Oryzias latipes: one gene and its partners. The protein of the gene in region 1 interacts with the protein of each later gene in a pairwise test. Links are inferred from orthologs where the notes say so. Each region holds a gene or a part of one and is shown in the gene's direction. Other genes may lie near its edges. The genes, in order: pex5, acot8 and ech1.

Region 1 (9,530 bases):
ATACAATTTTTCTCTCTGCCATGTGATCTCAGCACATTTCAGAAAATGATATCCTCACTTCTTGTTTTAGCTCCTGATGTGGCCGCACTGGCCCTCTCTGGTGATTGGGCTGCCGAGTTCCTCTCCAGTTCGGATTCTGCCACCACACCGGGTCTCACCTCTCTTGGTGATTCAGCAGATTCTGATTGGACCAGAGAATTTATTGCTGAGGCTGCAGGTAACTGGAGTTTCTTCCGGTCTATGATTTACTGCAGTTGTCTCACTGATTTAGCGGATCTAACTGTTATCACATTTTAATGTTTATAAGCTACAATATGTACATTACAAATGTCTTTAAAGTCCCCCTCCATTAAAAATCATGTTGTTGTTTTTTTATGTATATCTGACATTTTTCTTATGAAAGAGAACAAATGTAATAAAAAATAATTTCTTTTTTTCATTTCTGAGTATTTCTCCTTTTAAATCAGTGGCAATTAAACTGACGCAAAGACGCGCTGTTTATATGAATGAGGCGTTGTGATGTCACAATGGCCTAGTAGTGCAAGCGCATTGCAGAAGCTCCCTGATCTGCCCCGCCAGGCGTGCACAAGCTCAGGTGCGTGAGAAGAGAAGATGGTGCATTGCTGCATTGCCTGCACATATTTTAAGTGCATCCAAGGCTGGATTTTGTTTTTGACCACATGTATGAAAAAAATCAAAGTGGCCGAACCGCGTTTGGCCCCTTGATCAAAGGTGGGGCTACTCAGCTCAGCACCAACAGCCACACCCATGTAGAGGAGATTTTGGAAACGGAGGCTTCAGATAAACATGAAATATGCCTTTTTACAACATTTAGGTTGTGGGATTTTGATTCAAAACTTCAGAATTATAATCAAAACACAACATTTTTTTAATTGTCATAGGGGGACTTTAATTTATTCTGTTTAATGTATTCCTCTCCAGACCCTGGACGCTGGGCAGAGGAGTATCTAGAGCAGTCTGAGGAGAAACTGTGGCTCGGAGACCTTGGAGACAAGGAAAGTGAATGGTGAGAGGTGGGCCATGCAAAGCGTGTGGATAATAAAGTGTTTGCAGGAAAAAGTCCTTCAGGCAAGCATCAGTGAGTGCGCAGTGGCAGCCTGACACCCCTACAGGAACAAAAGAGGAAAAGCTCCAAGGGAGACAAACGATAACAGATCTGAATGCAGATTTAAACCTTGAACGCTTTCTTAAGCGAATGTGTCGTTTTATGTCCACCCATTTACTTTTATCCTCTTCTAACTTTATGCATTGAGGCTAATTGTACCCAGAGCTGTCCATGCATACATATAGGGCCGTCTGAATTCTAAAGCTAATGTATAGAATATCGGCCTTGGCTTCTACTGACGTCTATTGAAAGCACAGCCTTCAGCAAACCTGAGTATTATCTCCAACCTACATAAAGAGAAAATAACAGAACAGTTGCTCTGCTTCTATTACAATCTTGTGGTATATTTTGTATTTGTCTGGCAGGACTAAAGAGTATCAGTCAGGAGAAGAGCTGAGGCAGACGGCAAATGAACTTGTTGCAAAGGTCGATGACCCCAAGTTAAAAAACACAGAGGTGAGTGCTGTCCTGCTCTGTCATGAATCAGTCATGTATTTTTTCCCTTCATATCTGTCGCCTTATTGTTTCTTGTTCTTTAGTATTAAGTGTTGGCTTTATAACCATTAGAAGAGTCATGTAAAAACAACCAATTATCCCCAATTAAAACCGCTGCTCAGTAACAATTTTGTGATATAAAGTTTTTTTTCTTTACTTTTTTTTATTGTTCCCCTCATTGTTGTGTAGTTCCTGAAATTCGTTAGGCAGATTGGCGAGGGAAGTGTGACAGTGGAGAGCAGAGCAGACAAACAGCTCACAGATAAAGCTCAGGCTGAGGAGGCTCAGAACTGGGCCTCCAACCTCAACCAGGTAGGAGTCACTGGCCTCTGAGGATGGTATTGCTACAACTAACAGCTGTATGTTTTGGGGGGGGGGATGAAATTGGTTCATGTTGCATAGGCTATGCAGTGTGACTCACCTCCCCAGTATCTGATGCAGTGCACCATTTTCCATGAAGGTAATCAAAAGCAGCCACCAGTTTCCTAGTAGTAGGAATCTCAAGGCTGCGCAGTGCTGAAGATCCAATTTGTTTTGAAAAGAAGAACTCGGCACGATTAGCTTTTCCTCTTAGAAATTTAGTTTAGGTTTAATAATAAGTTTAAGGTGTTAAAATGGTGACTCGAGGCAATACGACTTTCATACAGGGAATTTAAAAAGCTTTACAGTGATTGAAGATTTTGCCAGAGCAGCTTTGGCTTTGAATCTAACCATACACATTGTTGGCGAACATCTGAGCTGTTCAGCTTGTTGGTAGCAAAAGCTCAGTGTTCCATCAGTATTTAAATTTACTGCAGCTCAGAAATAAAAAAGTCCCTTTCCAATCATCTATTGATCAAAGTCTTCTCAATAGCTTTTAACTATGATTATGCTGTTTTTAGCCAAAATCAAGAAACCTGCCGTTTTCCAGGACATAGTTTCTGGAGAGCAGCAGGAGTTTCCACAAAGCAGCCCCGCCCCCTCTTCCCCTCCCCGTTGATGTAGAGCTCAGAGGAGGGAGCTTGGTTATTTTCTACGTCACAAATAAGGTCTTCTTCCAACTGCATTATTTTGTCTGCATCTGATTCACAACAATTTCAATAAAGAAATCCTCAAATTCAATTTTAAGCTTAACGTACTTAATATATGCCTTCCATAGAAAAATCATGCCGCTAGAAAATGTTAAAAACACGATTTCCATTGGAGTGGGTCTTTAAGTGAATGTCACATTTTAGAAGTCAACTTTTTTCCCCAAAAATACAGACATCCTTGGCCACCAACAAAAACATAAATAAAATGAATACAGTAATTATAAAGCTAATGTAGAAGTGAAGTCAACTGGCTACGCTGATTGAAAAGAGGTGCTGACATGACATTTTTCATTTTTGCGATCATGTTTTGCATCTTACACTTTTTTTAAGAATAAAAAGGTGACTTTTCATTCATCTTCTAAACCCATTTTATCCCTTTCTGGGTGACGGGGCTGCCAGAGCTTATCCCGGCTAACTCGTGGGCAAAGGCAGGGTACACTTTAAACAGGTCGCCAGTCTGTCTCAGGGCCAGAAATCACACACCCATGCACTCTCACATTCACACCTAGGGACAATTTAGAGTAACCTATTAACCTATGAAGCATGTTTTTGGATGGGGAGGAAGCCGGAAAACCAACTCCACACAGAAATGTCCCCCATTGATTCTGTTTCAGGTCCCCCAGCCAGGACCTTTTAAGACATGAGCCTTCTTGCTGTGAGACAAGAGCTGTTAAAAAGAAGTTTATAAGTCATTGAGAATGTATTTGTTACAATGTAACTTCATTTTTAGTTAACGTTTTATCGACAAACTGGTAGTTTTCAGTACAGTACCCTCGTTTATTGCAGGGGCTACTTTCTACAAATAACCTGCGATAAACAGAATCTACAGGATTTTTACTTTTTAATATTAACACTGTGTTGTGTGTTTAAGGCTGTAAAACCTCACTACAAACTTTAACATTCTCACACATTCTCTCTTGTTTTAACTCTCAAAGATTCAAACCTTTGTAAAACAAAAACAAAAAAGTCTGGCACTTCCGATTTTACGCTGGTAGCAAGCAAAGATTGATGTAAACTAGTCAAGCTGAACGCTTTCTGTAAAGGAGATGCAGCATGAGGCAGATTGATTGATAGTGGTCTACAGCCAATCAGGATGCAGAGCACAATGTGCTGTAAAAATGAAAAAACGTTTTTAAAAAATCAGCAAAACCCCAAAAGGTGAATCACATTATTATAGCATGGTACTGCAGGGTTTAGTGTCCAACTTTGTTTTTAGTGTCTGCTGGTTTCATTTATTCATTCATTATCTGCTGATTTGACAGGATAGACTATCTTCCTGCTGTTTAGCACGTCTTATTTGCTGAAATGTTGCCTTCTCAACCCAAAGAAAAATAGACTATCCCAGTTAGATTAAGTTTAATTCATAATCATGCAACATTGTCATGTGCTTTGCTCATTTCGGCTTGCCATCCCCTTTCATGTTTTACATTTGTCATGTAACATAGACAAAAAAAAAACCACACAACTCTGTTCCACCAACCACCCCCAAAAATTTTCCCTACCCACCGCTTCCTTACCCTCAAATCATTGCCCCATGTGCCTTCGCCAAACCCTTCCACCTCACGTCATAGTTCCTGGTGGAGACGGGGGGAGGAAGTCTTCCCTTGGAACGGCAGGAGATGAGTCAGAAGATTGAGAAAGTTAAAGCTAAACAAGCAGAGCAGTGGGCCAAAGTCATCAGGCAGGTAGGACCTTTGCAGTGGCGGCAGCACTAGGGATATAGGGGTAGTTGTGCCTGTTTTTTATTAGAGCTTTGCTTCTAGTATTTTTTGATAGATTTTTATCTGTCATTTAGACTCTTAGATAAGCCCAGCCGACATTCATTTAGCCTTTTCAGGCTTTTTTTTTTTAATAAGCAAGGAGTAGGAAAAAGGCTTTTTTCCCCTTTTGTCATTCCTGCTGCTTTTGCAATACTTGTGTTGTTATGTTTCTGCTTGAAGCATCCCAGATCTCCATTCTCATCAGATTTCTTAGCTAGTAGATTTCTGTCATCCGCTGCCAATGGTTTTATTGTTCTACAGGTTTCAGAGGAGTCGGCTGAAGCATGGGTAGATGAGTTCACAACAACAGGGCCGGATTTTCATCAAGCCAAAGCTGCAGTGGAGGTGAGCCAAACTTTTTTAAGTCCAAACCCAAAGCTTTTGTCCGATACTCAGGAGATTTAGCTCTTTTTGTTATAAATTTAGAGGAAGGAGGAGAAATCCAATCAAGAATTTTATCTTAATATGTCCTTATTAAAGCAAAATAATCCTGTTTTAGTTGAAGTTATTTCTTGACACGGTCGTTCAAGCCATCCACGCTTTTCTGTGGATAACAAAAGTCAAATAGTGTCTGCACTGTAGAGAAATGATTTGAACTGTGTGGGAAACTGTAAAATGGATGTGTCATTTTGTCAGAGTGATGTGGATTTCTGGGAGAAGCTGCAGCAGGAGTGGGAGGAGATGGCCAAGAGAGATGCAGAGAGCCATCCCTGGCTGTCTGACTTTGATCAGTTACTCAGCTCTTCTTATGACAAGGTAGCTGTCAACCTCCTCCATGCTCGAATCCTTTGAGAAATGGTGCTGATGTTGAAACCTTGTGTTGTATTACATTCTGCTGTAAGCCCGAGAGGTTCTTTTGTTTATAATTTGTCATTGGATTCATCATCATCAAAACATTTTGACCAGTTTGGTTGTGTTTTTTTTCTGTTTACTTTAGGGTTATCAATTTGAAGAAGACAATCCTTACCTGTCCCACCCAGACCCTTTGTCAGAGGGGGTTAAAAGGATGGAGGCAGGGGACATTCCTGGAGCCGTACGGTTCTTTGAAAGTGCGGTACAGAAGGAACCAGACAACCAGCTGGTGAGATTTCCTGTTTTTAGTTGCTAAACATTTATTTTTTTTCATTTTGTAATGGAAAGAGTCCACATTGAGTTTGTGGCATTTCTTTTTAACAGAAAGCAAAATATGGTTTTATTAAATTACCAATAGTAATTCTTTTTCTTTTAATATTTTTTTTTATTAACGAGGTTTATTCATTTAAAAGGTGAGTGTGAAATAAAGTGTATCTATTTTTACGTTTAAATTGCAGGCTTGGCAATATCTGGGTACCTGTCAAGCAGAAAACGAGCAAGAGTTTGCTGCCATCAGCGCCCTCCGCAGGTCAGAATGCAGAAGTGAAAAATCCAGCCTACAGGCTTAATGTTCAAAGCAGAAATCTGTCTCGCCAGGAAGTGCTGCAAGTTTAAGTGCAGTAAATAATATTTAGCTAAACCATTTTCTATAATTCTGTTTTAAGCAATAGGTAGGAAACAAAAATATATATTCTAATTTCTTTGAGTGACATTTTTCCTCCTCCCATTGTTATTTTTAGGTGTATAGATCTGAAAAAGGACAATTTGACAGCACTGATGGCGCTGGCTGTTAGCTTTACGAATGAGTCGCTGCACAGGCAGGCCTGTGAGACTCTTCGTGACTGGTTAAAGCACAATCCTAAATATCGCTCTGTGTGGGAGCAGCATGAGCATGAACGCCAAAAAGACGGTCCTGGAAACAGGGAGAAGGAGAGCGAGAGGTTCGGGTCCCTTTTGCCAGAGTGAGTGTGGTAGATGAGGAAATTTAAGCCTCTAAATATTTATGTATTTATCTTCTTTTTTTTTGCGTGGCAGTTTTAACTGAAATTTTTCCACTTTTTCTTATTGGTTATTTTACACAGGTCGCTATTTACTGATGTTCAGTCCATGTTCCTGCGTGCAGCCAATGCAGACCCCACCCAGGTGGACCCACAGCTGCAGTGTGGCTTAGGAGTCCTCTTTAACCTCAGTGGAGAATATGACAAAGCGGTGGACTGCTTTAGTGCTGCCCTCTCCGTCACTCCCCAGGTTAAAGCAAAGATCCTCTTCTGAGATATTCATAACGTACTGTGTGTGTGAATTTTTTTTTTATTCTGCTTTTTGCCTTTCTTTTTTTTTCCTGACAGGATTATCTGTTGTGGAATAAACTGGGAGCCACTTTAGCTAACGGAAGCCGATCAGAAGAGGCTGTGGCTGCTTACAGGAGAGCTCTGGAACTTCAGCCAGGTTTTGTCCGCAGTCGCTATAATTTGGGAATCAGCTGTGTTAACTTAGGTGCCCACAGGTGGGGAGCCTTTTAAATTTTGTAAAAAAAAAAATTAAAAAAAATCTTTTTGTTTTGTTTATAATACTAGTTAACCAAAACTAGTTTCAAGCAAACATATCAGAATAAACGTAGTTGCTCTTTGATAATAGTTGACTGAATGGGATTTAAATGTTGCACCATCTAAAATTTTTGTTATTTTTAACTTCGCAGAGAGGCTGTGGAGCACTTCCTGGAAGCTCTGTCTCTGCAGCGGCAGGCTGCGGGTGACGGTGTGAGAGCTCCGCAGGGCCCTGGAGGTATCACAGGAACAGTGATGTCTGACAACATCTGGTCAACCCTGCGCATGGCTCTCAGCATGATGGGCGAGAGCTCTCTGTACGCAGCAGCTGACCGGCGAGACTTGGATATGCTGCTGGCTCATTTCAGCCAGAGGGACGCTGATGGTGGGACGGAATGAGGACCAGTCAGGGGAGGGTTCATCAAGTGTGAATGTGCTTTGCTGGGAGATAAATGTTTGGATGACTGAATAAAAATGCTGAAACCTAATGGTTTGATGTAAAGAAACATGCCAGAGGAAGACACTGTGATATCCACTGTGCTAGACACTATTTTTATCATGTGGTTATTTGTGTAGATGACCATGTTTACCAGGTTTGCAGTATTTGTCAGTGGGTGGAGGGAAGCAGCAAGCGAGAGTTTGTATGAACAATTGAGGTGCAGTAATACTAAACCTTTGGAAGATAAAATAGGCAAACGCATGAGTAATTTCCTTGTTTTCTGTAGTAAGTGGCGCCAAGTCAGACTGTGCTCACTCTGGCACGTGTGCAGACGACGGTACACGGGTGATGCAGCGCTAAAAACAAGAGCAGCTTCAAGTCAAATGATTTAGACTACAAATTTATTTTAATTTAAATTAAATTTTCTTTGATAATTTTTCTGCCATCACCATATCTAGAATACCAGCAGGACTGTTACTTGTATTATGTTATGGTTGCTTGGGAGGGGGCATTTAGTTTGGGGGAGGGTACCTTTAAATTGCCCTCTTTCCTGTATTTTCTCTTGTAAAACAAATTTTGTTTCATTGTAAATAGCTGCATATGCCATAATGTTGATTGTAATATAATGGTGCACTACAATTGTGTTCAGGCTGCTTGTACCCTGACTGCAAGGTTTTAATATAATATTCGGCAATAAAGCTTTGATTGCAGATATCTGGTTTGTTGGGTCTTGAAACATTATCTGCGGGGAAAGAATAGTCGTAGATGATGGAAGACTGACCATTTAGGAAACCAGAACATACATTAAATAAGCACGTGCTATTCGATGTGTAGTGGAAAAGTAGAAACGAGCATATATGTACGTAAATAAATTACTTTAATGCAAAATTATTTATTATAATGATCGCATTTGCTTGATGGCAGAAAGTTTGCTTGATGGCGGTAAATTTCCCAATTGAAAATGTATTTCTTTGAAAAGTAAATGATAAGCTAGCTGTGCGGACATTTTTCAACGGTCAACTGTGTTATCAGTGGTAGCCACGCCCAATATTAATGAGGTACAACTTTTAAGCCAATGAGCACTGCGTAGTTAAAGCGGAAGTGCTTTCTTATTGGCTCGTTTGAATGTAACAACCACGCAGCCCACGACATTTAAATGTTTTAAAAGTTGAGTGTTCCTGTTTATGTCGTTTGTCTTGGATTTGTCAGTATCCGAGAGGGTCGGTGTCAGAGTGCGATTTCTTTGTCTTGTATAAGGTATGTTTGTTCAACATTTTGGTCAATGTCCGTGAAATATGTGTTCTTGTTTATGGTCATAAGGTCATTTAGCCGCCGTTTGGCTAAAGATAGAAGCACATTTTGAATTAAATCGTACTTGTTTATTCACGCTGACTTAGTTTAGTTGCCAGTTGATGATCTTTGCATACATGTCTAATTCACATTTGAACGTTTTGTTGAAGAACAAAAATTAATTAATTAATATTACTTAATATTATTTAAACTGTAAATTATGCTGTAGAAAGGAAATGGCAGATTAGAAAAACCTGAATATTACTCAAATGTGATTCCTACTCACTGAATGCATGTTGTTTTTACCATTCAGTACACATACTTTTAATGAAAGTATACCTTTTTCAAGATACGTAAAAAAATATATTTAAAAAATATATAAAATTTCCAATTCTATCCTGAAAGTTTACTAAATTGTACAGAGTTAGATGTGAAACATACTGCATGTTCATAGTTGTCGAAGTTTTTTATTTTTCTACAAATCCACCTGACTTGCTATTTATTTCTTAAAATTATGCAGGAAAAATAAAATCATTATGGGATCAAGTGAGAGCAAGTCGGCTGTGCCAGCAGAGAAGAAGCCAGAACCAGCCTTTAAAAAAACCCACATCAGCCATCTGGTTGATCCTCGCTCTCCCTCAGGCGGCATAGATCGAACACCCATTCAAGTGAGGTTATTTTTTATTTTGTTTGCATATTTATTTGCTGCTGCAACTGCAAATTCTAACAATTCAATTCATATTTGTGCATCTTAGGTAGGAGAACAGGAGTCCAATGTTTCTCAATTAAAAGGCGAGTGTCCCCTGGCCATAACAGATCCTCGCTCACCTACAGTTGGCATAACCCGCACTCCTGTCAGAGAGGTTATGAGAGGTAAATAATTTTTTTGAATGAGCCTTTAATCTTCCCCTGTTTTGCTAACGAAGTCTGATTTTTACCTTTCATTTTCTTCTA
Region 2 (10,123 bases), on another chromosome or scaffold:
TCAAACTTACAAGAGTCTTACTAGGTTTGTTCCTCCAGCTCCTTGTATGTCATCGGACTGCTGGCAGCAGCTGGACAGGCCAACCCAACAGGCTGTCAGGTGGAAATCAGGAGAATATCTTTGAATTGGAGTCAGAATCTTCACATCAGTGTTTGCCTGGAAAGAGTTGCATCATCGTTCTTTTTGAAAAAAAGCCCCATTTCGATCATCTCTTGATGTATTTTGAAGAGGTTTCTGGTGATCTTTTAATTATAATTATGTCATTTTTAGCCCAAATGAAAAAAAACTCAGTCCTGGGGAGAAGTGTTGGTGTGGAGCAACCCCGCTCCCCCTTTCCATCACCCATAACTAAGAACTTTCTGTGTACACTCTAATGCTACAGCTTACAGCCCCTCACACCCCCAATCTAACATCTCCGGTGCAACAACAATGGCCAGCAATAGTGGAGCTATCCAGCCGTACAGTTTTGAGTCAGATGGACGAGGAAGAAGGGAGTTCAAGGCCTGCCCATCATATTTTATACGTGACAAATACGCTCTTTTTTTGTCTACTCCTGATTCACAGCGACTTCAATGAAAAAATACTCAGAAATGTCATTTCATTCTTTAAATATGTCCTCCATCATGAGAAAAATGCCAGAAATTTCTCCACAGTAACATGATAGGAAGCTCCACAGGGAAGGAGGAGGTCATCTGAAGATGAAGCAGTTTTGAAGCTGATGGGCCGTGACGCGGCCCAGCAGGGGCCTGGAAATGCCAGCGCCGAGCGTCACGATGAAAGTTTGATGCGGAAGGGTGGAATGTGAAATGATATCACAAGACAGTCCTTCAGGGGGTTGACTCAGTGTTTCACAGAGACCGTGCACCGCCGTTATGCAACCACAACATCCACGGCGGTGTGGATGGAACTTGTGGAGCTTCTGCAGCAGATGGAGGGGGCTGATGTTTGGACACCACATGTGTTGTGATTCGGGGACGCAACGACAGCTGCTTCGCCTCTGATGATGAATTCCAAGATGCGATCAAAGCAGTGGATTTAATGAGGTTCGGTGTCAACCCACTGCATTTCCCCTCATGGCTGGAGACGCTGAGCAACAGTGATGTCTGCAAAAATCCAATTCAAACGCAGTTGTGCATCACTGATTGCATTCAGGAGGGGGGGAAGAAACTGGAGCAGACAAACGGCATGTTGGCTTACAGTAGGGCCATTGGGATCACCATGGAAACAGCTAAATACACCTGCCAGCCTCCATGAAAAGGGGGGAGCTGTAAATTCTTCATGGGCTGCAGCAAAATGGACCACAATGATACAGCGAAGGATTTGGCAGCCATGGCAGCATCATGAGGAGGAGCTGCTCCTTACTGCAGCAGACATGGATGACACCAGTTGGAAACATTTGACAGCATCATTGAAAGGACCACACACACACACAAACACACACCAAAACCCGCATGAAGCTGCCTCGTGACGCGCGTTCACAGCCTGCGTGCACACTCAGAAAGGAACCCCAAAAATGAAGACAGATGATGCGGCTGGACGGTACCTGCTCCCGGAGCATCCCCCGCGGCCGCGCGGACCTCCGTGATGCTGCTCGGGTCACTCCGGGATCTCCCGCGCCTCAGCGCGCGGTCCCCGTCCAGCCCTGTGGACGATGACGCCATGGTGGAAGCTGGAGAGGCGACAGCAGCCAAGGAGCCAAGGTCAGCGGCATCAAGTGGCGGAGCAGACTCACCGTCTGACTGCTGCTGCAGCCGCGCAGGGAAATCCGTTACGCGCGCAGCATCGTGTCACCTTCAAGGGCTGCTCGGAAAGAGCAGCCCGCTGTATGGAACCCCAATCTTGTCAGCGTGATTTAAAAGTAAAAAACAGGAATCACTCTAGCATAAATCTTTGTCTGTTTTTTTTCAGAATATGATTTATTTAAAAAACCTGTCAATTCATCGAAAGAAAGAAAAATCAAAATATAATTGTCTTGAGACAAGACAAAAACAAAAAAGAAGAGAAAAAAATACATCAAATCAAAAATATTTATGATCATTCAATTTCACATAATTCCAGATAATTATAATCCATTTCAATCCAGATCATATCTGGATCCTCAGCTGTTTTTTTTTAAATAGCCCAGGGCCACCATAAAAGAAATTAAATAATAAATATATGGGAAAATGAAACTGAAGATAAAAAGGCAAAATGTTATGAGAATAAAAAAAATTATCTGAAAAAGTAATTTTTGGAATAAAGTTGTGAAACTTTGAGGAGAAAAAAGTCAAAATTTAAAAGCAAAGTAGTAGTAAAATCAACAATGGGCATTGTTGTAAAATATAAAAACAAAAGTCAATATTTTATGAGAATGAAGTCATCAAATCGTGAGAAAAATTTCAAATTTCATGAAATATGTTGCAAATTTGTTAGAGAAAAGTAAAAATTGTGTGACCAAAGAACTACAATTTCGAGAAATATGTCAAAATTTTACAATAAAGGAAGTTGTAAAATTATGAGTAAAAATGTCAAAATTTTAAGAAATAAATCATAACATTAAAGTAATAAAGTCGTATGTTGGATGTATATACTTTATTTTCTTATTCTTCTATCAACTGCTGTTTGAAACTGTGATTATAGTCTGTTTGACCTTACATTGAGTTTGCAGTGCTGGAGTTTTTCTGCGTGGAAAAAATATGCATCAGATGAACAAGGAGTGTCGAGAAAACAGTTAAAGATTAGAAACAGAACTGAAGAACTTTCCACTGATCCTCCCATTTCTGCTGTGAGAAGAAATGAGAACTGCTGACTCTGCATCCCATAGATTTCTTTGTAACCAAAACCCATTTGTTGAATGAAAGGAGGACGTCGGACAGACATCTATAGAGCTGCTTGGGGCAGTGGTGTCAAAAGGTTGTCAGTTTCTGGCTCTCCTCACCAGAAATCTTACTGGGCTCCTGATTCTGTTCTTTAATACTGTCTTGTGTCTTCAGATATAACCTTGCATTCATTCAATTAAGAGAAAAAAGTTTCAACTTTATGAGAATAAAGTTTTAAAAGTATGACAAAGAAGTTAAACTGTGAAGACAATAAAATCAAAATATTAAAATAATAAGGCCATAAATTAATGAGAAGAAATAGTCAGAATTTTACAAGAATTGAGTTGTATGATTATGAAGAAACAAAATTCCATGTCTTAAGGAAAAATAGTCATTAAAATATGGGAATAAAGTCAAAACAATAAAGTCATAAATGTTTGAGAAAAAAGTCAAATTTTCACAAAAATAAAATCAACCAATTATGAGCAAAAAGGTCAAATATGAACGATTATAAAGTCTAGAAGTTATGAGAAAAAAAGTAATAAAATGTATTTGAATTAGATCCTAAAATTATGAGAAAAAGGTCAAAATTCTCTGAGCAGTTTCTTTCCACGTATTACTGCCCTGTTACATCACAGATGGTTATTCTTCATCACTCCTTTGGATTTATCTCATCGTTTTCTTTCTTTTAATTCACAGTCACAAATCCTCCACCACATCCATTCATCACTCTCCACCACAAGCTCAAGCCTCCAGATCCAGATTGCCTCTCCTTTAGTGTCTCTATGGACACCGTACCCTCAGTCTTTTTGGATGGCATCCCCGACCCGTCTGTCCATCACCTTGTAATCCCTGCTTCAGAGATCCATGGAAAGAGACCACACTGATAATACACACGGTAGTAGCAAAGGATCAAAAACGTTATCAGAGCTGCTTGTGGCTTTCTCACATGGTTAACAAAGACATAAAGGAGCTGCTCCGCACATTCAGATATCTTCTGTATTCTCCTTCAACTCTTCTTTTCATATTTCTTAATTCAGATGTTTTTCAAGCGGCCACCAACTCCCAACCATCTTCCAACTTCTCCTCCTTGTACGGCGAAAATACCCCATCCTCTCTTTTCCACTAACTCCTAGCCAAGACAGAAATCATGAAAAATCACTTAAAGAAAATTACAATCGAGTTTCCTCTTTAATTTTAGCTAATAAAAGGCTGAACAAAAACCATTTAAACAAATGTGGCATTTCCTGATGCTAGACAAAACATCCTTTATGTCAATCAAGTCAAACTTTATTTATAAAGCATTTTTTAGACATATGTAACACAAGAGATTTAAGTATCCAGAAACTGATTCAGGAGTTGGTCAGTGTTGTCCAAAAGGTAAATGTTGTCCAATGGGGTTGATCAGCCAGAAAAAAGAAAAACAAAAAGGATACTCATGGAAAAAGAACTCCAATGAAAATGGTGTTTTTAACATGTTTTTGTAACATCTTACTCATGATGGATGATATTAATAAAGACAATTAGGATTCAAAACTGCCTTTCTCAGTATTTCTTTATTCAAATAGTTGTGCATCAGGAGCAGACAAAAAAATGCAGTTTAAAGAACTTATAGATGTGGCGCAGCTGTTATGGTGGAAAAGCCACAAGTTCCCTGCTCTGCTCCATTCTGATGCATCCACTTGTAGACTATTTTAAATCTTTAGATTTAAATCATGTTTATTTAGGCAAACTGGCCTTGTTGATGGCAAAATCCTAATTCACACAGCCCCTCCACAGGGTTCTGTTTAACTGCCTCGATATTTTGGTTGATCTCTCCCCCCACATAGTTTTTTCTTTGCATTTCTATGCTGATGACAAACAAATCTTTTTGTATCATCCGCCATTAGATGTGGCAGTGTGATCACACATCTCCTACTGTTTCAAAATGTTCTCCTTAAATGGGAGAAACACATCTTCACATCATGATCCTTCTGCCAGCCCTTTCAAACAGCACAGCTTCACCGTTAACATTAGGTTCTGAGTGACCATTGATTCTGCTTTTCTTGGCCTTAAACTGACATGTATTAATCAAACCTTTACTGAAAACAACAACGTAAGCAATTTTTCCTTTTATTTAAAAATAAATGGAGGTCTATTTATAACTACTGTGCTCGTTTTTTGATCTATTGTAAAAGCATTCCCAGTAGTCTTTTTTATTATGGCTATGCCCTTTTTAGGCGAAATCAAAAACACGTGTCGTTTTCTGGGACATAGTTTCTGCAAACCGGCAGGAGTTGTGGGTGAAAAAAATTAAATCTAGGTCTGACATCCAAAATTGTGTTTAGCTGTAATTTTTAGCATTATGAGACTATAAAAGCTACATAGTTGTTTTTTAATTTAAATGCCCAAATTTTAAACTTTAAAAATAAATATTTAGTTCTAAAGTGTAAAATCAAAAGTCGCCTGAAGGTGGCAGCAGTGAAAACGTCAGTCCGTTGCAAGTCAAAGAAGAAGAAAGTCGCCATGACTAACATTAAAGTAGAGGAAAAGACCTCAAAATCGGGTTGTATTTCAGCTCTAGAAGCTCCGACAATGTCTGGAAATGACGGCGCAGACAAAGCTGAGTCTGGGTTCACGCAGGACTTGAAAAGCGTTCTTGTTACCAGCGTTTTAAACCTGGAAGAGCTCGACATCGACCTGTACAGGTAACACATAGTACAGAGTTCCGTCACTTTTTCCTGAAAAGAAACGCGCAGTTCAGGAACATCACGGAAAACTCAACTATAAAGTAACCCGTTAGCACGGCAGACAGGTGTATGACCAAACGCCGTTCGTTTTTGTTTTCTAAATGCTAAAAACATCTAGCTTTTTGCCAAGGAAACACTACTTCAATTTAAACGATCTTTAATTTATTGCTTTTCATTATCCATTTTTATCAACTTAAATTATTAAGTTTGTTTCATATAAAAAAAACACATATTTTTTATAATTACGAAACACTGAAAACGTCAGAGTTCGGAACTGAGCTTCTGTGTATTTAATTTTCTCGCTCTTTTTGCTAGCTTTATTCCTGTCACTGAAATGAAAACCAGGATTTTTAACTCCTTTACATCGTTCTTATAAACTATGTTTTGTATTGTGTTGTAATACATCAAATTCAACTAATTCAAAAATTACCGTGTGATACATTTAGTGATGTTTTGTTGCGATGCTGACGTCAGTTTTGATTGTTTTTACTTTTATTTTGCAACTAGTGGAAGTTTATTTCGGCTTTTGGCTATTTGAAGGCTGTTTCCGGTGTTTCTCCTGTTGACTTTTGTTCGGGAGAATGACATTAAGTTACATGGGCTGGGAATAAATATATTATATTATATTATATTATATTATATTATATTATATTATATTATATTATATTATTTATTTATTTATTTCTGACCATCATTGCATTTTTTTTTAACTTATCTTTTTCTGTATCACTTTCGCCTGTACGCAGAGAAGTCAGCTCTCGCATCCTTAACTCCTCCACAGCTGAGGTCTTTTCTAATGCTTTTAACCTGGTCCTTTCTCCGTGTACTGATGTTAATACTTTATTATGTAACTTTAACCGTTATTGTCTTTCCATCTTGGATGAAGTCTGTCCTGTTAAAACTAGACTGGCTCCTGTCACTAAGGTTTCCCCTTGGATTAACAATAGTATTCGCCGTCTCAAACAATTATGCAGGAAAGTTGAACGTTTATGGAAAAGAACTCACCTAAATGTTCATCTCCTTCATCTTAAGGATCTTTTAGTTTCTTTTAACAATGCTGTTAGAGATGCGAGGGCTGCATATTTCACTAATCTCATTTCCAAAAGCAGAGGTAATCCTAAAGTGCTGTTCAACACTATTAGTGATATTGTTATGCCCAGTCCACCTGCCGTTCCCATCCATTCAAATGATGATTGTGAAAAGTTTTTATCATTTTTTATTGAAAAGGTCAGATCTGTGAGAAGCTCTCTGTGTCACACAGCTGGTCCTGGCCCTGGTTCTTTTCCTGGTCCGCCTCGTCCTGTGATTTTAGACACTTTCTCGCCTGTTTCCCTCCCTGAGCTAGTCAGATTAGTTGGCACAATGAAGTCATCCTCTTGCTCCCTCGACACGTTGCCAACTTCTCTGCTCAAAGATGTCTTCCAGTCCATTGGTCCCTGTGTCCTGTCAATAATGAACTCGTCTCTGCTGTCTGGTCAAGTCCCTGAGCACTTTAAGGAAGCTGTTGTACTTCCTCTCCTTAAAAAACCTGGGCTTGACCCCTCCCTCTTGAGCAGTTTTAGACCCATTTCTAACCTTCCTTTCATGTCTAAAATTTTAGAAAAGGTTGTTGCCAAACAACTTACAGCTGCTCTCGACAGTCATGGGATATTTGATCATTTTCAGTCAGGTTTTCGCAGAGCTCACTCCACTGAAACAGCCCTTCTCAGAGTCACTAATGACATCCTGATGCAGGGTGATGCAGGAAAATGCTCTGTGTTACTGTTATTAGACCTGACCGCAGCCTTTGACACTGTGGACCATAACATCCTCTTGGACAGGCTGAAAAACTGGGTTGGGGTCTCCGGATCAGCCTTAAACTGGTTTTCATCATATTTGACTGGCAGATCTTTCTCTGTTGTCTTCTCCAAGTTTAAGTCTTCTTCTGCTCCTCTCACTTCTGGTGTGCCCCAAGGCTCAGTTTTGGGACCTTTATTGTTTATTTTATATCTGCTGCCTTTACAGCATATTTTAAGTTCTTTTAATGACATTTCTTATCACTTTTATGCTGACGATATTCAGCTTTATGTGTCTTTTAAACCCCAGGATGTTTTTAAAATACAGACTTTACAAAAGTGTTTGGACTCAGTTAAGAGCTGGATGAATCACAACTTTCTCCAACTCAATGAAGCCAAAACTGAGGTCCTAGTTTGTGCTCCTGACAGTTGTCTCCCCAAGATAATCCATGAGCTCGGCTCACTTGCTTCTTTTATCAAGCCCTCTGTCAGGAACCTAGGTGTAACTTTAGACCCGGTTTTATCCCTGGACTCCCATGTCGGGTCACTCGTTCGCTCTTGTTTTTATCATCTAAAAAACATTGCAAAATTGAGTCCAGTTGTGTCCCGTTCTGAGATGGAGATGCTCATTCACAGTTTTATATCCTCCCGTCTCGACTATTGCAACTCCATCTTCACATGTTTAAGTAAAAAATCTCTAGAACGGCTCCAGATTGTCCAGAACGCTGCTGCTAGGCTTTTAACCAATTCATCCAAGTTCTCACACATCATCCCGTTGTTAATGCAGCTGCACTGGCTCCCCATTCACTACAGAGTGCATTTTAAAATCCTGGTCTTAACATACAGAGCTCTTAATGACCAAGCACCAGTCTACATAAAAGACCTGGTGCAGCCATACACTCCCAGCAGGTCACTGAGGTCATGTGACCAGGGTCTGCTGGCTGTTAAGAGAACCCGTTTAAAGACTAAAGGAGACAGAGCCTTTGCCACGGTGGCCCCATCCCTCTGGAACTCTCTTCCTCTCAGCCTCAGATCTGTGGACTCGGTGTTTTCTTTTAAAAAGCAGCTAAAAACATATCTTTTTAAAATAGCTTTTTCTTAATTTCTTTTTAACATGTGTTTTTACTGTGTTTTACTGTTGTTTTATCGTGTTGTACTGTGAAGCACTTTGTGATTTTTATCTGGAAAGGTGCTATACAAATAAAGTTTATTATTATATTATATTATATTATATTATATTATATTATATTATATTATATTATTATATTATTAGGGGTGTGACGATAAATGCATCACCGCAGTTTATTTTATTTTTTTAAAGTTCTACATATAGTGCGTGATTGGAACTGTAACAAACATATTAAACACATTGATCTTTGCTGATAATTTACTTTTTCTGCTAGTCCTGTGTTCAGACTTTAAGGGCTTTTGGGGGAATCCTTTTATTACTGTTTTCCTTCACTCCCTCTTCTTACACACGCGGCGGTTTCAGCAACACAGGAGACAAATTTACTGTGTTCTCATTATTAATTTCCATTGTATATATTATATTATATTATATTATATCATATTATATTATATTATAATTGTTTGTCATAACAAATATAGCAGCACCTTTTCCCTTTAGCGTTGTGTTGCTAAACAAAGAACAATGTATTTTTGTGTTGTTTTTTTCCCCCCAAAGGCTGCAGATAGAAAGGATTTCTGGTTCAAACATTTAGCAAAGATCTCTGACATCCTTGACTTATGTTTAGCAGTTTTTTTTGTCGTCCTCAGGGGAAGACATCACTGGGTGCCCCGCACTCAGAGGCTCTTTGGAGGCCAAATCATTGGTCAGGCTCTGGTGGCGGCAGCCAAGTCTGTTGGCGAGAACCTATACGCTCACTCCCTGCACTGCTACTTCGTACGAGCAGGTGGCACATCAACTAATGCTTTATTTTGCAGCACCAAAATGTAATAATCTATAGATAACATTTTTTTTCTCCTCTGTTTTTCATGGACGTGTTGTTTTTTTAACAGGGGACCCAAAGGTTCCAGTGCTGTACCAGGTGGACCGCACCAGAGATGGCCGCAGCTTCACTGTTCGCTCTGTGAAGGCCATCCAGCACGGCCAGCCTATACTGATCTGCCAGGCGTCCTTCCAGGTGCTGCAGCCCAGCCCTCTGCAGCATCAGTTCAGCATGCCCGTAGTTCCTCAGCCAGAGGAGCTGCCCACTGTGGAGGAAATTATCCACCAATATCTCAGGTACATTAATCCAGTTTAGTAGTTTGAGATCCCCCAAAGAGATTTTCAGAAAGAAAAGAAAAAATATTTAACAAATTATTTGTATCTTTTTTCTATTTTTGAAGAATTAGCTATTTCTAGTGGAAGCCTTCCTGCCATTTTTGGTGTGGGTATGCAGTAAATAGATCTACCTGAGCATAAAATTCACAACAAAACACAGCGTGAAATATAACTTAATTTTATTTTTAAATAATTAGAATGTTTGCACTTGAACAGCTGTTAAGCGTGTTCAACTACTTTCTTTAGCTAATTTAGCATCATTTAATTTAGCTAACCTGTCCAACATGACTTTTTATACCTGTCAAACGTTTACTTTAGCTATGTTTTGCTAACACATTAGCATACAATCAGCAGTTTTAGCATCTCATTAGGGTCTTCCTTTCTTTAGCTAATTTAGCATAGTTATTGTTTAGCTTTTTCAACTTGCTCAGCGTACCGAGCTTATTTCAGTGGGTTTTAAGTTTTTTGCTTTATAACATTTTAAGTGCAACAGATTTGTTTTCTCTACACTTTTAAAGTTTATATTAAATTTATATT
Region 3 (10,070 bases), on another chromosome or scaffold:
TCTGGACTCCGTGGACTCGGATGCTGGTTCTGGTTCTGTGGAGTCGGCCCAACTCTTCCTCCAGCAGAGCCTTCACAGAGTCAGTACCATCCAAAACCTGGAAACCCCTGGAGGTCAGGACCTGCTGGACTTCACCATACGGTAGGGACAAACACAGGATGTCCTTCACACACAGGAAGTCCTTCACACACAGGAAGTCCTTCACACGCAGGAAGTCCTTCACACGCAGGAAGTCCTTCACACACAGGAAGTCCTTCACACGCAGGAAGTCCTTCACACACAGGAAGTCCTTCACACACAGGAAGTCCTTCACACGCAGGAAGTCCTTCACACACTGGAAGTCCTTCACACACTGGAAGTCCTTCACACACAGGAAGTACTTTTAGAGCCTGCAGCCGTTTGGAGCGTAAACTTCTGAAGAATCTGTGCAGCTGGAATCACAGGAACGCCAAGCTTCTAGGAGATGATCTGGCACTTTACCTTTAACGTGTCTGTGATTTTAAATCTTTACAAGTACATAGATGGTTTTATCGCATGCCGAGTCCTTTGAGCAAATGTAGAGCCACAGGAGCTCCTCAGGGCTCAGTGTTGGGCCTCCTTCTGTTGCATAAACCACCAACCAGCAGGAGATGACTGTGTCCTTCAATTCACAGATTCACGACCAAAGTCAAAAATTGCAGAAAAACCACCCACCATGACAAAGATTTCAACATTTACAGCTGTTGTTCTCCAAATATTCCTAAACATTTGGATTGACTCTTTGGTTTTATATAATTCCAAAAATTTAAAAGTATTTTAATGATCATCATATTACTGAGTTTACCGTCTAAAGTAAAGTTTCACCAAAATTTTAAAAACTAATACATTTGCACAGTTTGACAAAAACGTGGTTTAAAACCAGGAAAAAGTCCGGAGGAATCCTCCGTCCCGGCTGTGTGAACATTCCCTCAGCTGCTCTCCTCCCGTTTGTCCCGCAGAGACCTGCAGCGGCTCGGAGAGCTGCAGACTGAACTCGCTGGAGCTGCGGATTTCTGCGCCACGTACCTGCGCTGCCAGCTGCTGCTCATGAAGGTGGGAGAGGAACGCCGGCAGGCCTCTTCCAGAAGCTTCCTCAAGCCGTAAAAACTCACAAGTCTTCGTTCCTCCAGGCTCTGCAGGAGAAGCTGTGGAACACGGCCGTCCCTCTGTGCCTCAAACAAAACGTCACGGCCACGGCCGCAGCTCAGCAGGTCAGTGGGCATGCACACGCATGCACGCACGCCTCTGTAGGAGCAGCAGCTCTGACCGAAGCAGCTGTGGTTTCAGATTGTGGAGGAAACCTACAAACTGGAGTTTCTCTACAGCGGCTTGGAGAACCGGCAGGTGGCCACCATCCACCACGTCCGACTGCAGGCCAAAGCTCTGCAGCTCATCCTGACGGCTCGCACCAGACAAGGGTCAGCGCAGCCGCCGCCGCACACACACACACACACACACACGCAAGAAGTCATCATAAGAGGAATCAAACGCTCTGCTTTCTCCCCAGACTGGATCCTCTGGTCAGCAGCGAGAAGTTTCTTCAGGAAGTGGAATCTTTTCAGAGGTCAGCGCCTTGTTTGTTGGTCCCTTTGGTACCCTTAAGTGTTTTTTGTTTTTTACTCTTTTCAACGATCAAATCTTTGTTTTTCATCAGATATATATGTGTGTGTGTGTGTGTATGTATATATATATATATATATATAATATATATATACACACACATAGAGTTTATATAAAAAGTTTTTCTTTTTATATAAAAACATGAGTTGGATGCAGTGGTAGCTTTTCTAAATTCAAAAATTATTTTTTGTTTTGTTATAAAAAAGAGTTTCTACTTGATAATATATAAACGTATTTAGTGTTAAAAAATAAAAAACTATAAAAGGTCAAAGACAAATATTTTTTAAGAATTTTGTACTTTAAACAAACAAAATCCTATTGAACGACCCTCTGAATGTCCTCAGTCTGTAGAAAGAAGAAAACGAATCATCTTCAGGTTCCTTAAAGACCGTCGCTGCTGCAGGACGTTTTTGTTTCTTTTTGACCTTTTTGAATTTCTGAGGTTAAAGGTTGAAGCGGTCCTGGAGTTCAGCCCCTCAGTCGGTGTGTTTCTCTTCCTTCAGGCAGTTCTTGCCGGAGCTGCCCCACCTCCAGGACAGCTTTGCAGAGAAGCTGCTGGAGCTGATGCCCCGCTTGTCGTCCTGCAAGCCGGTGGAGCTGGTGAAGATCCTGCAGGCCACGCTGAGGCAGAGCGGCGTGCCGCAGCTCCGGCTTCCTGAACGGGTCGGTCGGCAAAGTCCAGGGGGGGCGCCCGCTCTTAGACCGGCCCGCTAACTCCCGCTCTTCCCAACAGATCCACAGAGCGACCGCCACCATCATCGAGCCCACCGGGGAGTCGGACAACCCGCTGAGGTTCACCACCGGCCTGGTGCTGGCGCTGGACATCGACGCCACGCTGGAGCACGTCCAGAACCCGCAGAACACGGTGAAAGTGCAGGTGAGGCTGCTCTCACCTTCTAGCGACATTGATCTAGAAATCTCATTTCACGATGAACCGGATTCTTCTGCAGGTTCTGTATCCAGACGGCCAGAGTCATGTGATCCATCCCAAACCCGCCGACTTCAGGAACCCCGGACCCGACCGGCACCGACTCATCACACAGGTGTACCTCTCTCACAGCGCCTGGACAGGTGGGTTTGAGGAGCACGCAGCCCCCCCCTTCACCTCTTTGAAGATACCAATCACTCCTCTCCTCCCCTCCTCAGAGCCCTCACAGATTGAAGTGCGCCTCCTGCTGGCCTACAGCTCCGCCTCCTCCTCTCCCTCCAAAAGTATGACGGGATGGAGCGACAGCTTCGACGGGCCGCCGCCCCCGGAGCCCGCCGTGGAGGGAACCATTCCGTTCAGCAAAGCCGTTAAAGTTTACATCATGCCTAAACCTGCCCGGCGCTGACCTGACATTCTCCCCGACCCGGATCGACCCAACAGAACCCTCTGCCATGTTCACCTGTAGATAATAAAGTATTTGTACTGCAGAGGAAACTGAGACGTGCAGAAGAATCTCAAACGTTTATTTTGTTTCTGGAACTATTGTCTGTCGTCCCATTTTGGTTCCGTCCTCCAGAACTTTTTTCTTTAGGTTCTGGTTTCCACGGCAGTGAACCATTTCACCAGAGACTCGATAACCAGAAGCGATTCAGCTGGATAGGATTCCCATCAGATCCAGAGACAGCAACTCAACAGGTGGAGTGGAAGACTCCACCCACTTTGGCGCCCTGCGCAGCCATCTTGTTGTATTCGGCCACAGCCTTCTCGGTCTGGAAGACCTGAACGTCGACCCCTTTCTGCTTCACAAAGTCCAAAGTGGAGGGAGGAACCTGAGAGGAACCACAGCTGTGATGTGGGAGCCCAAAACGTCAGAGGTTTCTCACCAAAGTCTCACCTGCAGAGCTTCATTCATGCCTCTGCCGATGATCAGGAGCTCCGCCCCCTTCTTCAGCACCTCCTCCAGATCAGCAGGCTGAACCCCTGGGTGATGCTGCAGATGAGAGCAGCATGAGAACCTGTCCACCGCTCAGGTCTCCTGGTTCTGGTTCACTCACATTGGTTCCAGTCTCTCTCCAGTCCCAAGCCCGGCTGCCTCCAGGCCACACCTTACAGTCCTTGTAGCTGGAGGAGCAGCCTTTCACCTTCATGTGGCCCCATGACAAGGAGGCGATCTCAGGGGAGGACATGATGAAATGGAGCAGGTCTACTGATGAGCTGCAGCAGCCAAAGCTAGGTTCGGCAAGCGCTCCGTTCCAGACCAGAACCTCCTAAACTGACTTCACAGACGGTTATTTTGTCAAAAATGAGGAAAAGGTACAGCCTCACCGTTTATACAGAGCTATTTGTACTGATTTATGAGAAAACTTGGAGCGGAGACTTGAGCTGCTGTTTACTTGTAGTCAGTGGCGTCACATATAAGCCACGCCCCCGCTTACTCCTGATGTTCTTAAAGGGGAAATGATTTTTTTCGCAGTATAACTACTTTCTCGTAGGATTTCTTAAAAAACACATAGAAGTCCAAGAAATAAATTTATTTATTTAAAATACTTATTTTTGAAAATATGTAATCAAAAGAAGCCAATTTTCTTGTTAACTCTTAGCCAGAGTTTCGATTTTTGACACTTTAACATTTCAAAAGTTTTAACATTAGTTGTTATGGTTACCCAAACTAATTAATAAACTTGTTTAGTGTTCAATGGATTTGTTTTCATCAAAGACCCTTTAAAAAAAGGGTGATCACCCGTTTAAACTATAACCCATTGTTTGCTTTATTTAAATGAAAAATTATTTCAACGTATACATAATAAAATAAAATGAAAACATTTAAGTTTTTCTTTTCTATTTCTTGTATTTAAAGTATAATCGCTTTCGCTTTTCATGTAAAAAAAACACATCAGATTTGTCATTCAATGTCTCATTCTGAACGGAAGGTGGCGGTAGTGCGCCGCCGCGGCATGAACAAACCTGCGTCATCCAGGAAGAAGAAGAAGCAGAACAAATTACTTACTCAATCTGAATTTTTAGCAAAACTGATGGAATATTGTTTTAGATGTCCATAAATATGAAATATTGTAGGTAAGACCTCAGTTTTTAAATGATTATCACTTTAGCCTAGGCGCATTATTAACGTTAGCTTTCGGTCAGCAGCAGGTGAAGAGGACTAACTAACTACCCCCTAGGAGTAGGACTAACTACCCTCCAGAGTAACTACCACCCTGCAGTGCACCGGGCGTGATTGGTTGCTCTGCTGGAACTGATCTTTGGTCAAAGGTCCATGTTGTCGGTCGGATTCGCCCTGAAAAGTAAGTTTTCATGCTTTTGTCTCTTCTGCTTCACTTGAAGGTGAATCTGGGTGAAAGGGGACGCACGCGCCATTTGGTTCAACGTAGTATTTATTTATGTTTATGTTTTTTCTGCAATTTTAGTTTGAATCTACTTCCAGTCCGTACAGTTACCTTTTTAATAGACTAGTTAATAATTACCCAAGTGAAGTTAGCAATCTTTTTTATTTATCTGACGAGATATATATATAGAAATATATTTTTAATAGATGAAAAAGCATCAGATGTGTTGGGTAAATGTTAAAATATGTATTATAAATATTTGTTTGATTTATGATTTGATTTGAATAATGAAAAAATTTAATTTTAGTTCAGCAAATGTAAAAGTCTTTTTAAATGCATGTAGTTTAAAAAATCTTAATTTATAAATAAACAGTCAATAAATCATATTACTATGATTACTATATTACTATTAGGTATCGCATCTACATTTTATTTACTTTATTTGAGTTAATTTATGCCGTTCCTTAAAATAATGTACTGGTTTTATGCAATAAACTACCTAATTTTTATCTTCTGTTAAATAATTTATCAGTTATATGTACAATATTGTAAATATGCTGTCAAACTTTTTGTATAAATGTTTTGTGAAATTCAGTCAAACTTTTAATTTTGTTTTCTGTCTATCGGCTCAGCTGGGCGGTTGTGGCGACCCGCTCAGGTAGCGTGCAGAACCATGTCGTCTGCAGGTGGCCCCGCCCCCTTCACCACGCTGGCCGTCAGCCGGCCCACAGAGGCCGTCACACACGTGGAGCTGCACCGACCAGAGAAACGCAACGCCATGAACAAAGCCTTCTGGAGGTGCCAGCTTCGCGGGCCTGAACTCTTCAGGGGGTTCCGGGTTCTGGTCTCTGAGGAAAGTTCTGGTTCTCTTGCAGGGAGATGGTGGAGTGCTTTAATGAGATTGCAGAGGATCCGGTCTGCAGGGTGGTGGTGGTCTCTGGATCTGGAAAGCTCTTCACTGCAGGTGGGACTCGCTGACTTTGACAGCTCTGATCCGAGTCAGACGAGTCACTTTCTGCTGTGTGAACGACAGGTCTGGACCTGATGGACATGGCGGGCGATATGCTCCACCCAGAAGGAGACGACACGGCCAGAGTCTCGTGGAACGTCCGAAGGCTGATCACCAAGTACCAAGAGACGTTCTCCGTCATCGAGAAGGTCAGAGTCCTTTATGGTGGTGAGGCTCATCTGCGAGTTCGGCGCTGATGGCGGTTCTGTTTCAGTGTCCAAAGCCTGTGGTGGCGGCCGTCCACGGTGGCTGCATCGGTGGAGGTAGGAGGTCGTCCACACTGCACTTTAGAAGAAAAAAAAATCTTTCTCTTTAATCAAAATCAGTTTTTACAATCAATTTAAAACAAGACTATATTTTAACCTCACATTAATTTATGTTTACCTCCATAATGTGCAAATAAACTCAAATAGTTTTTGGTGTCATTCCGTATAAAACAGCTGTGTTGTAATATATATAAATCAAACTGAATTGGATTAAAAACTCCTCCATTTCTGAACAGTCACCTGATCAGCTTTCCATTCATGATAAAGAATGACGTGTTTACATCGACTAAGGGAAAATGAAAACTAGACCTTTAGGTGGTTTAACGCTGAACTCACCTGTTTTGGCGTCCAACAGGATTCGTTGGTTTGTTTTTGTAATATCTGCTGTAAATGCAGATTTGTGCTTCATCAGGAGTTGACCTGATCACCGCCTGTGACATCCGCCTGTGCACCCAGGACGCCTTCTTCCAGGTCAAGGTAAATATGTTGTTCTTCATGGCAAAATTCCAGATTCACAAAAGTAAATTGGCTAATAAAAAAACTGAATTCTTCTTACTGAAATTGGAACTGCAGAAACATTTAATAATAATAATAATAATACATTTTATTTCAAGCGCCTTTCAGGTCGCCCAAGGTCGCTGTACAAGGTTAAAATAAGAAAAACAGAATAAAAAAATCAATAAGAAATTATCAGAGTAATACATGAAATACATAAAGATAAAAATCAATAAGACATAATAAAACAGGATAGAAAAAAAGTTTAAACAGGATAAAAACAGGATAGAAAAACAGACAAATGTGGTTGTGTTTACTGAATGGATTAACTGTATGATTGTTTGAAGAGATGAGTCTTGAGTTTGGATTTGAACAGTGGGAGGGGGTCAGTATTGCGAAGATCTGGAGGAAGAGAATTCCAAAGCTGGGGGGCGGAGCGACTGAAAGCTCTGCCCCCCATGGTGGCAAGACGGGCAGGTGGGACATGGAGTTGGAGAGAGGAAGTGGAGCGGAGAGATCAGGAGGGAATGGAAATGTGAAGAAGATCAGAAATGTAGGGTGGAGCCAGGTGATGGAGTGCTTTGAAGGTGATGAGGAGAATCTTGAAACTAACCCTTTGTTTTATGGGAAGCCAGTGTGAATTTTGGAGAACTGGCGTGATGTGGTGGGATAACGGGGTCCTAGTGATGATGCGGGCTGCAGAATTTTGGAGAAGCTGCAGTTTCTTGGGAGTTTTATTGGGCAAAACAAACAGGAGGGAATCACAATAATCAATTGGAAAAGTGACAAGACTATGAACAAGTACACCAGTTGTATGAGGAGTGAGAGAAGGGCGGAGACGAGATATACAGCGGAGATGAAACTAAGCAATACGGGTGATGATATGAGATTGGAAAGAAAGTGAGCTGTCGAGTATTTAAAATCAATTTCTGCTTCAAAAAGTAAAAATGCTCATAAAACGATTAACATCTGTAAATTTTTGGGATTAGTGACATAAGTTAACCATTTCTGGTTTTTCTTCCTTTTATTTCTTTTTTTTGTTATTTATTTCCTTCTGTGATTGCTTCATTTGGTTATTATTGAACACCAGTTTGTGTAAAAAAAAATTTATATTTTAAATGGCCCCCTGGTGTTCTAAACAGGAATTAACTGCAAAATCCAGTAGACTTTTGTGTCCGAATTCCTTCCCTTCTCACTATATAATGTGGTCACCATTTTTCTAGTGCCGTTGCTGCGAAAAACCAGTGTGCATTGATGCTCACATGCTCATCGGCGAATACAGACCACAATGCATTGCGTTGAAACAATTTTTGCCAGAAAATGTATTTTAATTAAAAAAATTTAATAACCCATTCAAGGTTTTCATGTTTGGAAGACAGTGGACTCATAAATAATCGTCTTGGATTAATCCGGTTTCTTGCTTCCGTTTCTGCTGATACCTTTTTTTTTTTTTTTTAATTTTTAATCCTCATTTTTTTCATGACAATTTTTCTGTAGTTAAAGTTATAAACTGACCAATCAGATGCCTCCATAAAAGTAGGTGGAGCCTGCAGACCCCACGTCTCAAAGCCTGTAACTCATTCATGTTGTCCACTTTCAAGTGGTAGGGGTGTGGCCTTCCAACAAGCTCATTCCTGATTGGGGAGAGTGGTTGCCACAGAAACACTGTACCTTTTGCTTTTTTGAGTGTGATGAACAGAAAGTTCTTTGTTGCACCTTTAGCTGGAGTCATTCTGTTCGTTTACATTTGAATGAAAAACCTTTTCTTTTCTTTTCGTGTTGCGTGTAATGAATCTCTGGAGATCTTTGAAATGTTCCTCGGCGTGGATGTTTCTCCTGTCTTCAGGAGGTCGACATCGGGCTGGCGGCAGACGTCGGGACTCTGCAGAGACTCCCTAAAGTCATCGGCAGCAGCAGGTGAGACCCCTCAGGAGCAGAGAAGGCTGGAACATTTTACGGCATGTTTGTGGCTCATCTTCCTCTCTGCAGCCTGGTGAACGAGCTCGCTCTAACCGCTAGGAAGATGTATGCAGATGAGGCGAAAAGCTGTGGTCTGGTCAGGTAAACCTTCACCAACGCTCCCTTCCTGCTCACCAAAAGGATTTCAATGCGAAAAAAAACCTTCTTCTGTGCAGTCGAGTGTTTGTGGATAAGGACGCCATGATGGCCGGAGCTCTGGAGATGGCGGGGGAGATCGCTGCTCGCAGTCCGGTGGCCGTGCAGGGAACGAAACTCAACCTCATATACGCCAGAGACCACAGCGTTGCTGAGGGCCTCAACTACATGGTGAGGAGCTGCATTCACCGTAAACAACAGCAGCATGCAGCAATAACCAGGCGTTCTGTTTTTCAGGCCACGTGGAACATGAGTATGCTGCAGACGGCAGACGTGATGAAATCCGCCCAGGCCTCCATGGAGAAGAAGAGCCCCAAAGACGTGGTTTTCTCCAAACTCTGAGAGTCAGAAGGACTTTGTGTGGAGGAATCCTGACTGATCTTTTCCACTAAAACATTAACCTTTGTTAAAATCAATTGAACAGAAAGTGTCTGAAACATAATTTCAATAACTTAAAAGCTTTAATGAACTTCAGAATCATAATTTAAGGTAATCGATTCCAGCCGTCGTCACCTCTGCTTGGCACGAAGTTTGTGTAAAGTTTTCTGTGAAGACAAACATTAAAGTTTAAACTCTGCTGTGGTCTGGAGCAGCTTCTTTCTGTTCTCACCATGTGAAACTCTCTGGCCTTCAGCCGGTTCTTTGCATAGTCCTCCTGTCTGCTCCTGAAGGATCTCTGCTGCTTCACCTCCTCCAGTTGCTCGTAGAGTCTGCACACAGACGCTGGAGTTAAGGCCCGCACACACCGGGACGAATATTCGCCAGGCGTTATTCGCCAGCGTTTTTCGCCACGTTTTTTGTGTTCACACCCAGGCGATTTTCGCTGACGGTGAGCCGAGCGAACATGCAATTTCATTCCCTGACATTAGATGGCGCTTAATGTAAAACAGAAATACTCCTGTACACAAGGTGGCGCTGCGCAACTTTACGATTCTTAAAGTCGCTTTTCACTCAGAAGAAGATAGCAAGTATTTACGCGCTTGTCAGAATAATACAAAGAAAACATGAATATTTCAAGCATCAGTAGCTCCAACTGGTGCTTGGTTCAGGGATATTTTAGAATGTCCGTCATTATTTCTTTGCGGCAGTGTAGACGCTACTTGGCGTCTAACTTCTTCGCTGGTATGTGTGCTCAGCAAGGCAGTTTTGTGTTTGAGCGCCCCCAAGTTGTGTTTTACTGTAACTTCAGAGGCTCCAGACACGTGTGCAAAAGCACCATTCTCATTGGTCGAATAGATTTCGACGCGACGCGTCAAAAAAAAAAAACGAACCCG

The links.
Region 2: the proteins of pex5 (region 1) and acot8 interact in binary tests that used the Homo sapiens proteins (3 or more experiments, as listed by UniProt). The link is inferred for Oryzias latipes from reciprocal best matches to the Homo sapiens genes PEX5 and ACOT8.
Region 3: the proteins of pex5 (region 1) and ech1 interact in a two-hybrid assay, tested with the Homo sapiens proteins (2 studies listed by BioGRID and IntAct, with this or other methods). The link is inferred for Oryzias latipes from reciprocal best matches to the Homo sapiens genes PEX5 and ECH1.

What each region holds. Positions count from the first base shown.
Region 1 is NC_019874.2:20,505,308-20,514,837, forward strand, and holds the end of pex5 (peroxisomal biogenesis factor 5), read left to right. Parts: intron 1-70; coding exon 71-217; intron 218-942; coding exon 943-1,027; intron 1,028-1,491; coding exon 1,492-1,582; intron 1,583-1,810; coding exon 1,811-1,933; intron 1,934-4,262; coding exon 4,263-4,376; intron 4,377-4,712; coding exon 4,713-4,796; intron 4,797-5,087; coding exon 5,088-5,207; intron 5,208-5,388; coding exon 5,389-5,532; intron 5,533-5,761; coding exon 5,762-5,832; intron 5,833-6,043; coding exon 6,044-6,265; intron 6,266-6,385; coding exon 6,386-6,551; intron 6,552-6,649; coding exon 6,650-6,807; intron 6,808-6,999; coding exon 7,000-7,246; 3' UTR 7,247-8,000; downstream 8,001-9,530. Other genes in the region: cdca3 (cell division cycle-associated protein 3), read left to right, coding at 9,113-9,244, 9,332-9,449.
Region 2 is NC_019863.2:23,241,001-23,251,123, reverse strand, and holds the start of acot8 (acyl-coenzyme A thioesterase 8), read left to right. Parts: upstream 1-5,262; 5' UTR 5,263-5,303; coding exon 5,304-5,485; intron 5,486-9,078; coding exon 9,079-9,215; intron 9,216-9,321; coding exon 9,322-9,547; intron 9,548-10,123. Other genes in the region: phosphatase and actin regulator 3, read right to left, coding at 1,544-1,661. UniProt on the Homo sapiens protein: Catalyzes the hydrolysis of acyl-CoAs into free fatty acids and coenzyme A (CoASH), regulating their respective intracellular levels. Displays no strong substrate specificity with respect to the carboxylic acid moiety of Acyl-CoAs.
Region 3 is NC_019871.2:2,468,989-2,479,058, forward strand, and holds ech1 (delta(3,5)-Delta(2,4)-dienoyl-CoA isomerase, mitochondrial), read left to right. Parts: upstream 1-4,512; 5' UTR 4,513-4,642; exon of another isoform or gene 4,643-4,714; 5' UTR 4,715-4,841; coding exon 4,842-4,869; intron 4,870-5,543; coding exon 5,544-5,709; intron 5,710-5,786; coding exon 5,787-5,875; intron 5,876-5,944; coding exon 5,945-6,069; intron 6,070-6,134; coding exon 6,135-6,183; intron 6,184-6,598; coding exon 6,599-6,663; intron 6,664-8,527; coding exon 8,528-8,598; intron 8,599-8,670; coding exon 8,671-8,742; intron 8,743-8,816; coding exon 8,817-8,967; intron 8,968-9,033; coding exon 9,034-9,138; 3' UTR 9,139-9,305; coding exon of another isoform or gene 9,306-9,341; 3' UTR 9,342-9,373; downstream 9,374-10,070. Other genes in the region: ints4 (integrator complex subunit 4), read left to right, coding at 1-141, 978-1,071, 1,149-1,229, 1,306-1,436, 1,526-1,582, 2,142-2,301, 2,372-2,515, 2,589-2,709 and 1 more; aamdc (mth938 domain-containing protein), read right to left, coding at 3,256-3,396, 3,462-3,557, 3,622-3,753; cep295 (centrosomal protein of 295 kDa), read right to left, coding at 9,306-9,341, 9,407-9,506. UniProt on the Homo sapiens protein: Isomerization of 3-trans,5-cis-dienoyl-CoA to 2-trans,4-trans-dienoyl-CoA.